Callithrix jacchus: one gene and its partner. The protein of the gene in region 2 interacts with the protein of the main gene of each other region in a pairwise test. Links are inferred from orthologs where the notes say so. Each region holds a gene or a part of one and is shown on either strand. Other genes may lie near its edges.

What was found. The genes of interacting proteins can lie anywhere in the genome.
Region 1: the proteins of SH2D4A (region 2) and HMBOX1 interact in binary tests that used the Homo sapiens proteins (3 or more experiments, as listed by UniProt). The two-hybrid records come from large-scale screens. The link is inferred for Callithrix jacchus from reciprocal best matches to the Homo sapiens genes SH2D4A and HMBOX1.

Annotation. Positions count from the first base shown.
Region 1 is NC_133514.1:12,805,571-12,811,203, forward strand, and holds the start of HMBOX1 (homeobox-containing protein 1), read right to left. Parts: upstream 3,298-5,633; 5' UTR 3,015-3,297; exon of another isoform or gene 2,667-3,014; intron 2,243-2,666; exon of another isoform or gene 2,208-2,242; intron 1-2,207. Other genes in the region: INTS9 (integrator complex subunit 9), read left to right, coding at 3,805-3,813. UniProt on the Homo sapiens protein: Binds directly to 5'-TTAGGG-3' repeats in telomeric DNA. Associates with the telomerase complex at sites of active telomere processing and positively regulates telomere elongation.
Region 2 is NC_133514.1:22,193,402-22,199,034, reverse strand, and holds the start of SH2D4A (SH2 domain-containing protein 4A), read left to right. Parts: upstream 1-2,383; 5' UTR 2,384-2,526; intron 2,527-2,685; exon of another isoform or gene 2,686-2,779; intron 2,780-5,633. UniProt on the Homo sapiens protein: Inhibits estrogen-induced cell proliferation by competing with PLCG for binding to ESR1, blocking the effect of estrogen on PLCG and repressing estrogen-induced proliferation. May play a role in T-cell development and function.

The sequences.
Region 1 (5,633 bases), about 9.4 Mb from region 2:
GCTATTAAGTTCCTATTAGCTATATTTTAACAAAGGATTTGAGCTAGAAGACTGAAATCTGTTCATACAGCAGTGAAAACTAAGCCTCACTAAAGGCATTCAATATCCAGCTCAGGGCTCCTTTCCTTAATACATATTTGTGACTACAAATAGTGTTCACTACATGCAGTACACTGAACTAGCAACAGATTAGTTAAAAGCAGTTTAGATTTTCAACTTCCCATAATACCGGCAACATCTTTGGAAGCAATCACATTAAAACAAATGTCTTTCACAGTTACAGGATGAAATTTTAAGATGGACAAGTACCAATGCCCTGGTTTTCTACTTTTTTTATAAACCATATGACTCCCACATGCTGAAAATGTTTTATGCTTTAACCTGCAGTAAAGGCTTTACATCATTTTAATGCCCAGTGCTTAAAATGCAACAGAATTACCCACAACAAATGCTAGGAATATATTTGGCTTACATGTAATGATTGTGATCCTGCTGGTAGCCAGAAAAAAAGTTTAACGAATGCTTTTCCCAGTAAATAACTTTGCATTTCCATAGACAAAACAAAAGAAATTTTGAGGTAAGGATAGGTGGAATAGAAAACACTCATGTTTTTCCAATTCCAAATATTAACAAATATGTTGGTTTTTTATTTCTAAAATATTAAATATTTTTTTTTAATTTCGTGACTATTATAATGTTTCAGAAAAATAAAACAAAACACTCCGTTAAGTAGTTACATAGGATTTTTCTCCAGCTTTTGCAAAGTAATGTTTCAAGTTAAGATACAAGCTTAAAACAAATGATTCTGAAAATCCTGGTCTATCACAAACTAAAGGCTTAGTTTTGAATCAACATATGGTATATTCTACATCTGAGATTTAGAAACCATTTTTTTTCCTAGTCAGGTGAATTGAAATATACATGTTTCCCACTCTTACAGTCCCCCTTATCTGTGTGAATGACCAACAGCAAAACATTCAAATCAATGGTTATAAAATACACAGTCTATTTATGTGGTTTTCAGTTACCATAAAATCTAAAGATCCCTTACTAATGATAGGTGGCAGATTCAAGAATTGGTAAGTTTGGGGAATATATTCAATTCTTAACAGTCTAAATAGAAAATGATGCCAATTTCTTTATTTTAAAAATCTATTACACTAAAAAACCTGTCACATAAAAAGGGTTACTGAAGAACTTATAAGGAAGTACAAAATACGTGATCTTATATTCTGCTAGTATGTTATTAAAAACTGTGAGAAATAAGAGATGCGAGAATACTTTTTTTCACTCTAATTGAAATTTGAAAAAAATTTAGAATTCAAATTTCCCAACTTTGACTTAGAAACATAATTAAACTAGATCAAGCAACTTAGTTGTACAATTTTAAAGTAAGTTTTAATGCAAAGCACTGCAATCCTGATGTGATTAATTACCTGCGGCATAAATGCAAAATAACAAATGCATTTAATGATGCATTTTACGGTAAAACCACAAAAAGCACAACCACATTGGCAAACGAAATAAAAAGGCACAGGCGGTATTATGTTCATCAGAAAGAGAAACGTTGTACTAAGCCAAGAAAGAAAGGAAGGACTAAATGAAGGAAGAAAGGAAGGAAGGAAGGAGGGAGGGAGGGAGGGAAGGAAGGAAGGAGGGAGGGAGGGAGGGAAGGAAGGAAGGAAAGGGAAGGAAAAAATGAAGGAAGGAAGAGGGAAGCCTTCTACACCTGCAGGATCCCAGAGAAATGAACTAGTCATTTCATTCTATCCTATATGATACATGGGTGTTCTTGTTTTTCTTTTAAGCTTCAGCGTAAATAAAAACAGTAATGGCTTTATACCATTCAACTTTACATAGTGGTATCTTTAATGTCAACTGCATTCTTCCCTTCACTCACCCAATGCTTCTTCACTGTTCCATTCCACCAGCTTGCAGGCAAATGCATGACAGAACAGGGTGGAGTAGAAGAAAAATACAAGCAGCGCCTTTCAGCACACCCCCCCGCCCCGCAAATAATTTCCAACAGTTCTTCCTACTACAAAAATGAGTCGCCCTATCTCAAGATACACAACAGACATTCTGTTCCTTTAGTAGACAAACACAGACGCGTACACAACCCAGCACTCTCGACTCCCACCCCAGGCCCCCCGAATCTTCAACAATTATTCGTCTATTTCACACGAAGACAAGACACGTCTACCTACTGTTTCGGGGTGAAGGTGGGTGGAGGACGCCTTTCAAAGTAGCCCCAATAGTGTAACCAAAACACGGTTCCGGAATAAAATATTAAGAAACACTTTTCCTTTCCCACCTATCTACCGACTTGAGGATGCAAAAAATCCATCTCCACATCACACCATCGCTACAGTTCTCGTGGCTGGAGTTTGGGGTGGAGATTCGTCCAGGGAGGGGGCGGAGGCGGGTGGCGGAGTGTGAGCGGACGACGGGACACGAGCGAGTTGCTGAGCCCGGCTGCCCCGCACCACGTCGCCAGCCCAAACGCCCAGTACCAGGACCTCACGCCCGCCCCTTAGCCCAGGCCCAGAGCGAGCGAGTCCGCGCTGTCTAACTTCTCATCTACAGACACAGCTCTAAGACGAGGAGGGCACACAAGTACACGTCACACAGTTTAAAACACACTTACCCCAAACAAACCAACACACCTGCAAATCACCTCACAGTTTCCCGAACTCCACACCGGAGACCCCACCTCCAGGATTCAAACCTTCCGCTCATAGTGGAGGAAACCAGGAGGAAAGACTTGGGGGCAGTCGACGCCTTTCCAGGACCGGCCCCCACGAACTGCCCCACCCCACAGCCCGCGTCCGGGTCATCCACTCGGAAGCCCCCAGCTTCCTCCCTCCTCTCAATCCGGCCGCTTACGAGACCCATCCCCAGCGTCCGCTCACTTCCTCCCCAAAACCCCTTTAAAAAAAAAATTGTTTTAAGTGAAGAGAAAGAAGTGAAGAAAGAGACTTGAGGTAGTCCGGCTTCCAAACCGCTCGACTCACCTCAGAATCCTCGCTGAGTTCTCTCCGCCCGGCAAAGCCCCCTCCCCAACGTCCCAGTACGGAAGGCTGAGGTAGGGAGGAGGGAAAGCAGAAGGGGGAGGGGTGTCTTCCGCGTGGGGCGCCCGTCGGGAGGGGACTGGGGAGGGGTTGAGGCCGGCGCAGGAAGAGGAGAAGGGGGAGGGGAGGCCCCTATCTCCCAGTCTCCCCCTGAAAACCTTCCTTGTCTCAATCACATCAGACTGACTGTCTTTGTCTGGCTGACAACCGCCATATTGATATCAACAGCCCCGCTCCCACCTGCTGCCGCCGTGCGTTCCTGGGAGTTGTAGTTCCTGCCTCCCCTGAGTAAAACCCGGGAGCCTGGAGCCTAGAGGCCATAGAGAACTACAACTCCCGGCAAGTTCCGCGCTCATCCGCCTGCTCTTTGGGAGGAGAGGAAGGGGGGTCGGAGCCATCAGGACTACACATCCCAGAACACCATGGGCCCCAGGCCTGTACGGGGGACATGATATCATGCTGGGGTGGAGAGGGAGGATGCATTGGCGGCGGGGATGAATTTGAGCTGACGGAAGGAGGCGTTCGAGAGGAAGGAGAGAAAAAGGAAAGGCGACCACAGTTCCCATGATGCCTGGGAGAATACATTTCCCATGATTCCCCTGGAAAAGACGTGAGGATGAAAGACTGCAAGTCCCGCGATGCTCTCGGCGGGCAGGTGACGGAGATTGCACCGGAAGACGCTTCCGGGGTTTGAGGAGTTCGGTGACTGCTATTGAACCACCAAAAGTCCATTATGAAACTGGTGAGTCTTCGCTCCTAGGTTAGAGGACAAAGGTGATGCTATATCCTTTGGACCTCTTTTTTTCTACGTTGGGCAGGGAGCCGTCCCACAGGATGGGTGGCAATTAGGAAGCTGAAAAGTGGAGTGGGCTAAGGAAAGCTGCTTTTTGTTGTTGAGAAGGGTTGAATTCCCCCTCCCGTCCCCGCTATCTCCGCCAGGCGGTCTTTTTGCACTCATTGGTGGTTGCTTTTGTTCAGACAAGACGTTGGCTCTGTCACAGTGCTTTCCCGATGAACTCTGGGCTTGGTTAACCAGGTTTGGACTTCCTAGCTCCCACGTGTGTTGGCGTCCGGCACGTCTGCCGGGGGGCTACCGACCTGCGGGAGTCCCCGAGACCGCCAACGTAGATGTCTCGTTCAACCTGAGGGAGAGAGTGCGCGGAAGTGAAAGAAAAAAGAAAAGCGGAGTCTGGAGGGCTGGCTTAGGCTATGTCCAAGCAGCAATTTTATTTTTGCAATATGTTCCATTATATACTTTGTTGAAGTTAATGTTGTTTACGCCAGATCAACATACTTAAGTTACAGTAAGCAAGTTACGCCCAGTAAGTAAGTTAAGCCCAGTAAGTCAGTTACGCCCAGTAAGTTACGGTAAGTAAGTTACGCCCAGTAAGTACTTAACAATTGTAAATACTTAAGTTAAATCACAAGGTAAGTTACAGTTACGCCCAGTAAGTTATGGTAAGTTACCAAGTGTAAATACTTAAGTTAATATTTTACAATGAAGGTAACAAGGGTCCAAAATGAACACAATCAAGCAATAAACCATAAGGAGCCGAAAGTAGACACAGTGCCTCCCAAGTCCATATCCATAAAGTAATGTCTGTTAATTATTTTGAATAGCATAGTCCCTCTCTCGGTTCCTGCTTTCCCTCAGCTCGACTCCCCCAACCGGGGATCTGTGTCCGAGCTCAAGCTCACCCATTTCCTAGGGGCCTCACACGGGAGCAATCCCCACAGATCCCTCACACGTGAATGTTATAATAGGCTGTTAACAACCCCTTTCCACTCGATTGGCACCTGAGTAGCCTGTCTTCCCTACGTTGCTGAGACTTTGGCTGGATATAAGCAGAGAGTAAAAAACATTCGGCAGAACGTAATCACTTATTAAATATCCTGTTATATGGACTCCTAACTGCCCTTGAAATTCAGAAGGGACGAGGTCAGAGTGTGGAGAAGTTGAGTCTTTAACCCTGCATGAGATTTAGATGGGCAGAGAAGTGTTACCGTATTTTATTCTAAGGGTGCATGAGCCAAGGCTGGATGAAGCGTGTCTGTATAGCTGAAGTCTTAGCATCACACAGCTCAAGCACTTGGCTCGTGGGAAAGCTTCTTAGACCTTTGATTTTAGCCATTTGACTGATTGTGCGCACAGGTCTAACTAATTTATTCCAACTCTATTCAATTAGTAATAGAACAGAGTAGAAAAGCAGATGTGAAATACTGTCTAAACCCTTTAAAACCCATACTCGTGCAGCCAAGTTGTTGTCAACCTTTAATTGAGGCAGGAGAATCACTTGAACCCGGGAGGCAGAGGTTGCAGTGAGCCAAGATTGTCCCACTGCACTTCAGCCTGGCAACAGTGAAACTCCATCTCAAAAAAAAAAGGGATGTTTTTTTCCCCCCCATTTATATAATTATTTGAATATGCTTTTCCAAACCACACAACCCACCTATCCTCATCTTGATAATCATTGTGCTGAAGACATGTACTCTGCAAAGCCAGCTGTTTTCTGAGAAGTCAAAATATTAAAAGTGGATTCGGTTCTGAAACTGTCTCCATAT
Region 2 (5,633 bases):
GTTTTCCTCTGAGAGAACTGGCTCAAAGGGAGGGAAAAAGTAAGTAAGGGCTCCACAAGTAATAGGCCACCCGATTTTTTTAGAGCATTATAAAACATTTTTGTATGGGCGCACTGGCTCATGCCTATAATCCCAGCACTTTGGGGGGGCCCGAGGTGAGTGGATCACCTGAGATAAGGAATTCCAGACCAGCCTGGCCAACATGGTGAAACGTTGTCTCTACTAAAAAAAAAAATTAAGAAAATACAAAATTAGTCAGGCATGGTGGCAGGCACCTGTAATCCCAGCTCCTCTCAAGGGTGAGGCAGGAGAATCACTTGAACCCAGGAAGGAGGCAGAGGTTGCAGTGCGCCAAGATTGGGCCATTACTCTCCAGCCTGGGCAAAAAGAGTGAAACTCCATCTGAAAAACAAATTATTGTCTACTTTTGAAATTAAGGGAAAAACACATATGTTTTATCTTCCAGACCATACCAATTAAAAGTGGAAATTCCAGGAGTCAGGAGAAAGGGAACAAAAAAGAGAAGGTGGTAGAGGAGAGGGGAGACCAAGTGAAGAGGATGGAGAAGAAACTACGAAATAAGAGAAGAAGAGATCATGGCAAATACAGGAAAGAGGCACAAGACAATTGGGATGGAAAGGGGCAGATGAGAGAAGAGGGAAGAGAGGCTGGGTTCTGCATGGATTGCGCTATTTGGGTACAGTGTGCATTCCTTTGGGCTATTAACATTCTTTCAAGATAAGAGCTCCAAGGTGTTTCCTAACTTAATCTCCGAAGTGGCATACTATCATCACTTCAGCCAGGTTCTGTTGGTCAAGCAGACCAACCCTTACAAAATGGGCGGGAGCTACTCCAGGGTATTTGAATACCAGGAGGATGGGATCCCTGGGAATGACTTGGAGTCTAGGTAGCTTGATGGGCAGAGCCCCTAGCCTCGGGTGAGAGGGTGGGAACCATAACATGGTATGAACTGATCCGAGTGAATGTGTTTGAACACTCACCACATGCCAAGAGCTGTTCTCATCTCTTTGCATGCAGTATCTCATTTAACCCTCTTAACAATGTAAGGAGGCAGGCACTCTTTATCCAGAGGAGGAAACTGAGGTACAGAGATTAATAGCACAGTGCCAGAGCTATTATAAGAAAGGACTGGTCAGGAGTTGAAGAGAGACTGGATGTGAGGAAGGTAACTGACCGTCACAGTGTCCTGTGGGATTTTTACTAAATGATAAACCACCCTGTATAGTTCTTCAACTGATCCAGCCATGCAGGGGTAGGATTCATTTGGATCTGGCCATAGCAGCTTTCCAGGGGCCAATCCCACTTCAGCCTAAAGCACCCCATAGGTTATCATTTAATCCGCAGCGGGACTAAGCCTTAGACCAGAAATTCCTCCCTAATGGGCTCCCTGGAATGGTTCCCACATAGCTGGGGGTCCTTTACTGACAATGCTGCCTGCCCTGATGCTTGATGTAACTCAGCCATATCTTCTGCAGTTGGGAGAGATGGGGAATGACATTTTGTGTTTGAACCCAGCAGGTCAGGCTCCTGAAGAGGTCAGGTAGGCTGTAGAGAGGACAACTGGTGATTACTGTTTATTACATGACACTAAGTCCCCAACACACGAAATCTGGGGTTCCCCAAAACAGACGGTGTTCTTCCACATGCTCCTCAAGGATGGAAAATGCCCTCCAGTGGAAATGCCTTTCCACTCTGCTTCTGCTGGATTTTCCTCCAAGATTTCCTCTAACTGTGGACTGCCAGCTCCTCCCTGATGTCTTCAGGCACCACCCAACCTCTGTTCTTGCTGCAATCCACAAGGCTCCTATCAACATCTTGACTTTCCCTCCAGTTTTCTTCCATTTTCTCCCCCTATGTTGACTGCGGTCTCCTTTCCCGCCTTTCTCCTTCATCTTGCCCTACAAAGCCGCACCTGAACCACAAGTGCCAGAGAGTTTGATCATTTACCTAATGTCAACAAAAGAAAAAAAAAGTAAGCTCTAGAGCCGGCTTGGCCTGAAGCACTCAAGCACAGTTAACAAGTGGGGCCAGGGCACCCTCCTACCCTCCACCTCGCAAGGAACTCAGAACTCTGAAACGGGGAAAGGGCCAGGCCTGCTGATTTAATCTATGTCCCGCAGTCTCCAAGAGGTCACAGACTGCAGATCCCAGTCTCCTGAAGTAAGAGAGGAGAGGACTACCGCAGTTGGAGGACAGCGCGAGGGCCAAGCGGCCCAAGATGCGCAGGCCACGCAGCCTCACGGACAAGTGGCCCTGGAGAGCCTCCAGGCACCCGGGTGGGGCCGCGATCGCGCTCTCAGTCACCCTAGCCTGTGGGCGCGGCAGGGCGGCGCGGGCGGGCCGGCTGCCGGAGCTGTTTGGCGTCTTGGCCTGAGTGTTTGCCCAGCCCGCCTGCGTCGCTCGGGGCGGCTCGGCCTTTCCCTCCCTCCCTTTGCCGACGGCTTCTGGCAATCAAGTGGATGTGGCGGGCGATCGGGCCACCTAGCCCAGGCGCGCCCAGCACTGGTAGGTGCTGGGGGTGGTGAGAGGCTTTGGGGAGAGAGTGCATGGGGTGGGAGTTGGGGGAAGGGAATTTCCTCCGGGCTTGCAGGGGTACCTGGGAGGTGCACGGCCCAGAGCGGGCGGGCGGAAGACTCACCCCGCCTCCACCCCTCCACGGCGCGCGGGGCGGGCTCAGGTGCGGGGCTGGGCGCCTAGCGCGGCCGCGGAGTGTCCGGTGTCCGGTGTCCGGTGTCTGGAGTCTGGAGCCGCTGGCTGGGTGAGTGGCGGTCCCCGGGGCCCGGGGACTTGCAGGGGATAGCGGGGTGAGTTCCGAGGGGGAGGGTCTAGCCCGGGCTCAGGAGACTTTTGGGGAAGTTCTGGGATCTGGCGAGGACTCGCGGCTCGTGCTTCCACCCGCGTGGAGTGCAGGCCGGGAGACGATCCGGGCTGGCCTGGAGTTTCTAGACTCCTAGCAGGAGCACAGCCCCGTCCTTCGCCCGGAGATCTTCCAAGAGGGAAGTCCTGGGAAGCGGTGGCAGCCGGCTCAGCACCCCTGCAGCGCGTTCCCTGCGTGCCGGCACCCAGGGGCGCCCCCACGTGGGGTCGGGGCGCGCGCGGAGGCACGTGCAGCGCAGCCTCCCTGGGCCTCAGACCTAGACATGGTGCCCAGTGGGCTCAACCAAGGGCGCCCCTGCCCACTGCTGGACTCGGGGGTCACGCGGGCCCCGGGAGGAGCCACAGTTTGTAGATTTTCTGAGTTGTCTCTCGCTTCCCTGGACGCTTAGAGAAGCAGCAAGCATGGAACCTCCCCTTTTCAGACAGGTGCTCCTCATTGCTGAAAGAGGCTTTTGTTTGATTGCTGTTTTAATAGAAACAACGACTTGGGTACCATTATTGTTAAATAGTGAATAAATAAGTGTAAAGTATACAGGGGCATAGATTTGGCATGAGTGGAATTTTCTAGGTATACTAAATCTGTGTGTACAGTAAACTCAAATTTCTGAAGAATAGTATATACTTGCAAAACTTGCCAAATTTCTGTCATCTCTAGTAATTTGTTTCATGGTCCAAAAACAGCCCTTGTGCTGGTAGATGCATAAGATAAAGTTTGAATAAGAAAGTAAAGTTGGACCACAGAGCTGGCTGTTTTAAAGGAATTAGAATTCAGACTGTGTTGTTAATGTATAGTTACACTGTCGGTACTACAATACTTTGTTATTTTTTATTTTATTAGGTCGGTGCAAAAGTGCGTTTTTTCATTATTGTTTTGTTTTTGTTTGTTCGTTTTTGAGACGGAGACTTGCGCTTTTTAGCTCAGTCTGGAATGCAATGGTGTGATCTTGACTCACTGCAGCCTCCGCGTCCCAGGTCCAGGTTCAAGCAATTCTCCTGCCTCAGCCTCCCAAGTAGCTGGGATTACAGGCACGTGCCACCATGCCTGGCTAATTTTTGTATTTTTAGTAGAGATGGGGCCAGCTGGTCTTGAATTCCAGACTTTGTGATCCGCCTGCCTCAGTCTCCCAAAGTGTTGGGATTACAGGCGTGAGCCACTGTGCCCGGCTGTAAATTGCAGTTTTTATGGCCAAGAAAAACAGTAACTTTTTTTTTTGCCATAAAAACTGCAATATTTTTGCACAGACCTAATATTTTTGAGACAGGGTCTCGTTCTGTCACCCAGGCTGCAGTGCAGTGTATGATCTCAGCTCACTGCAGCCTCAAACTCTGCAGCTCAAGCAATCCTCCCACTTCTGTCTCCCAAGTAGCTGGGACTATAGGTGCAGGCCACCACACCTGGCTAATTTTTATATTTTGTGTAGAGACAGGGTTTTGCCATGTTACCCAAGCTGGTCTCAAACTCCTGAGCTCAAGCAATCCACCCACCTCCACCTCCCGAAGTGTTGGGATTACAGGTGGAGCCACTGTGCCCGGCTTACTCTTTTTATGATTTAGGCTGTATCTTAGGCCTTTTAAAATTTTTATTTGTTTAGGCATCAGAGTTATCCAAAAGACAGTTGTATTAACACTGTGAAGGTGTGAGAATCAGGCCAAATCTATGGTAGCGTGGAAAACAGCTGATTCTCTCACCCTTTAGCAATTGGTGTTCAGAATAAATAGCAGGTGTGGGCTTGTTGCTTATCTTTCTCTTAAGAATGGTTTTGTGTTAGCTAGCTTTTCCTTTATTGGATCTTGAAAAACTGGAGGTTTGCTGCACTTGATATTTTATGGGAAAGTCCTTTGAATTTGAATCAGTATCAGCAATGATTATTTGTCCTTGTCAGAGAGTGAAAGTGGGAAAACCCGGTTAGTTAATTTCCTCATTTCTATTTCTTCTACCCTGGCTCTACCAGGCTCTTTCACTTCACAGTAGATTATGTCACATAAACCACATATTATGAGGAGTCACAGACTGAACTGGCCCTCATTTCACAGATGAGGAAACTGAGTCCCAAGAAGGTGAGGTGGCAGCCTAGAGTCACACTGCTCATTAGAGGCAGAGCTGGGAATTGAGGCTGAATTCCCTCTGGGTGTCTTGGATGCACTGTGCTGAGCTTGAGTTGGGGTCTGAGAAAGGCTTGGGGTGGGGGTTAGGGGATGGGAATTTAGGGGTGAGAGGGAGAGGTAATTTACACCAGCACCATTCAGCAGCTGCAGAATAACCACATCGTCAACAGCCTGACCACAGATAGTTGTCGGCTAGATCCCCCAAGTATTCTTGGAGGCACAAGGAAGCCAGTGTCTTTCCTTCAAGATGAACTAGTTAACTTGAATGTTAGAAAACCACATTTGCTATAAAAGCCAACACAACATAAAATGGAAATAACATGAGCATTTCATCACAGAGGTGCCGTGAACCTCCTTGCACAGGTGAGAGGCTGTGCTGTTTGCGCTGTTCTTAGTGTTTGCTTGGAAGGGGAAATTGTGGAGATGAAGTGGATGACTAAGTGCAAAGGGAAATGGAGAGGACTAAGTGGCTGGCGAATAAATGGGTGAACAATGTCCACGTCTGGGCTACTGTGACAGTCAGTTCCTTGCTGTCCTTCCTGGCTGGGGTGTGTTCAATACCTGGCCTCCCCTAAGCTTAGCTACAATTGACCAGGAGAAGGCTTCTGCCGTGTGTCTAATACCATCAG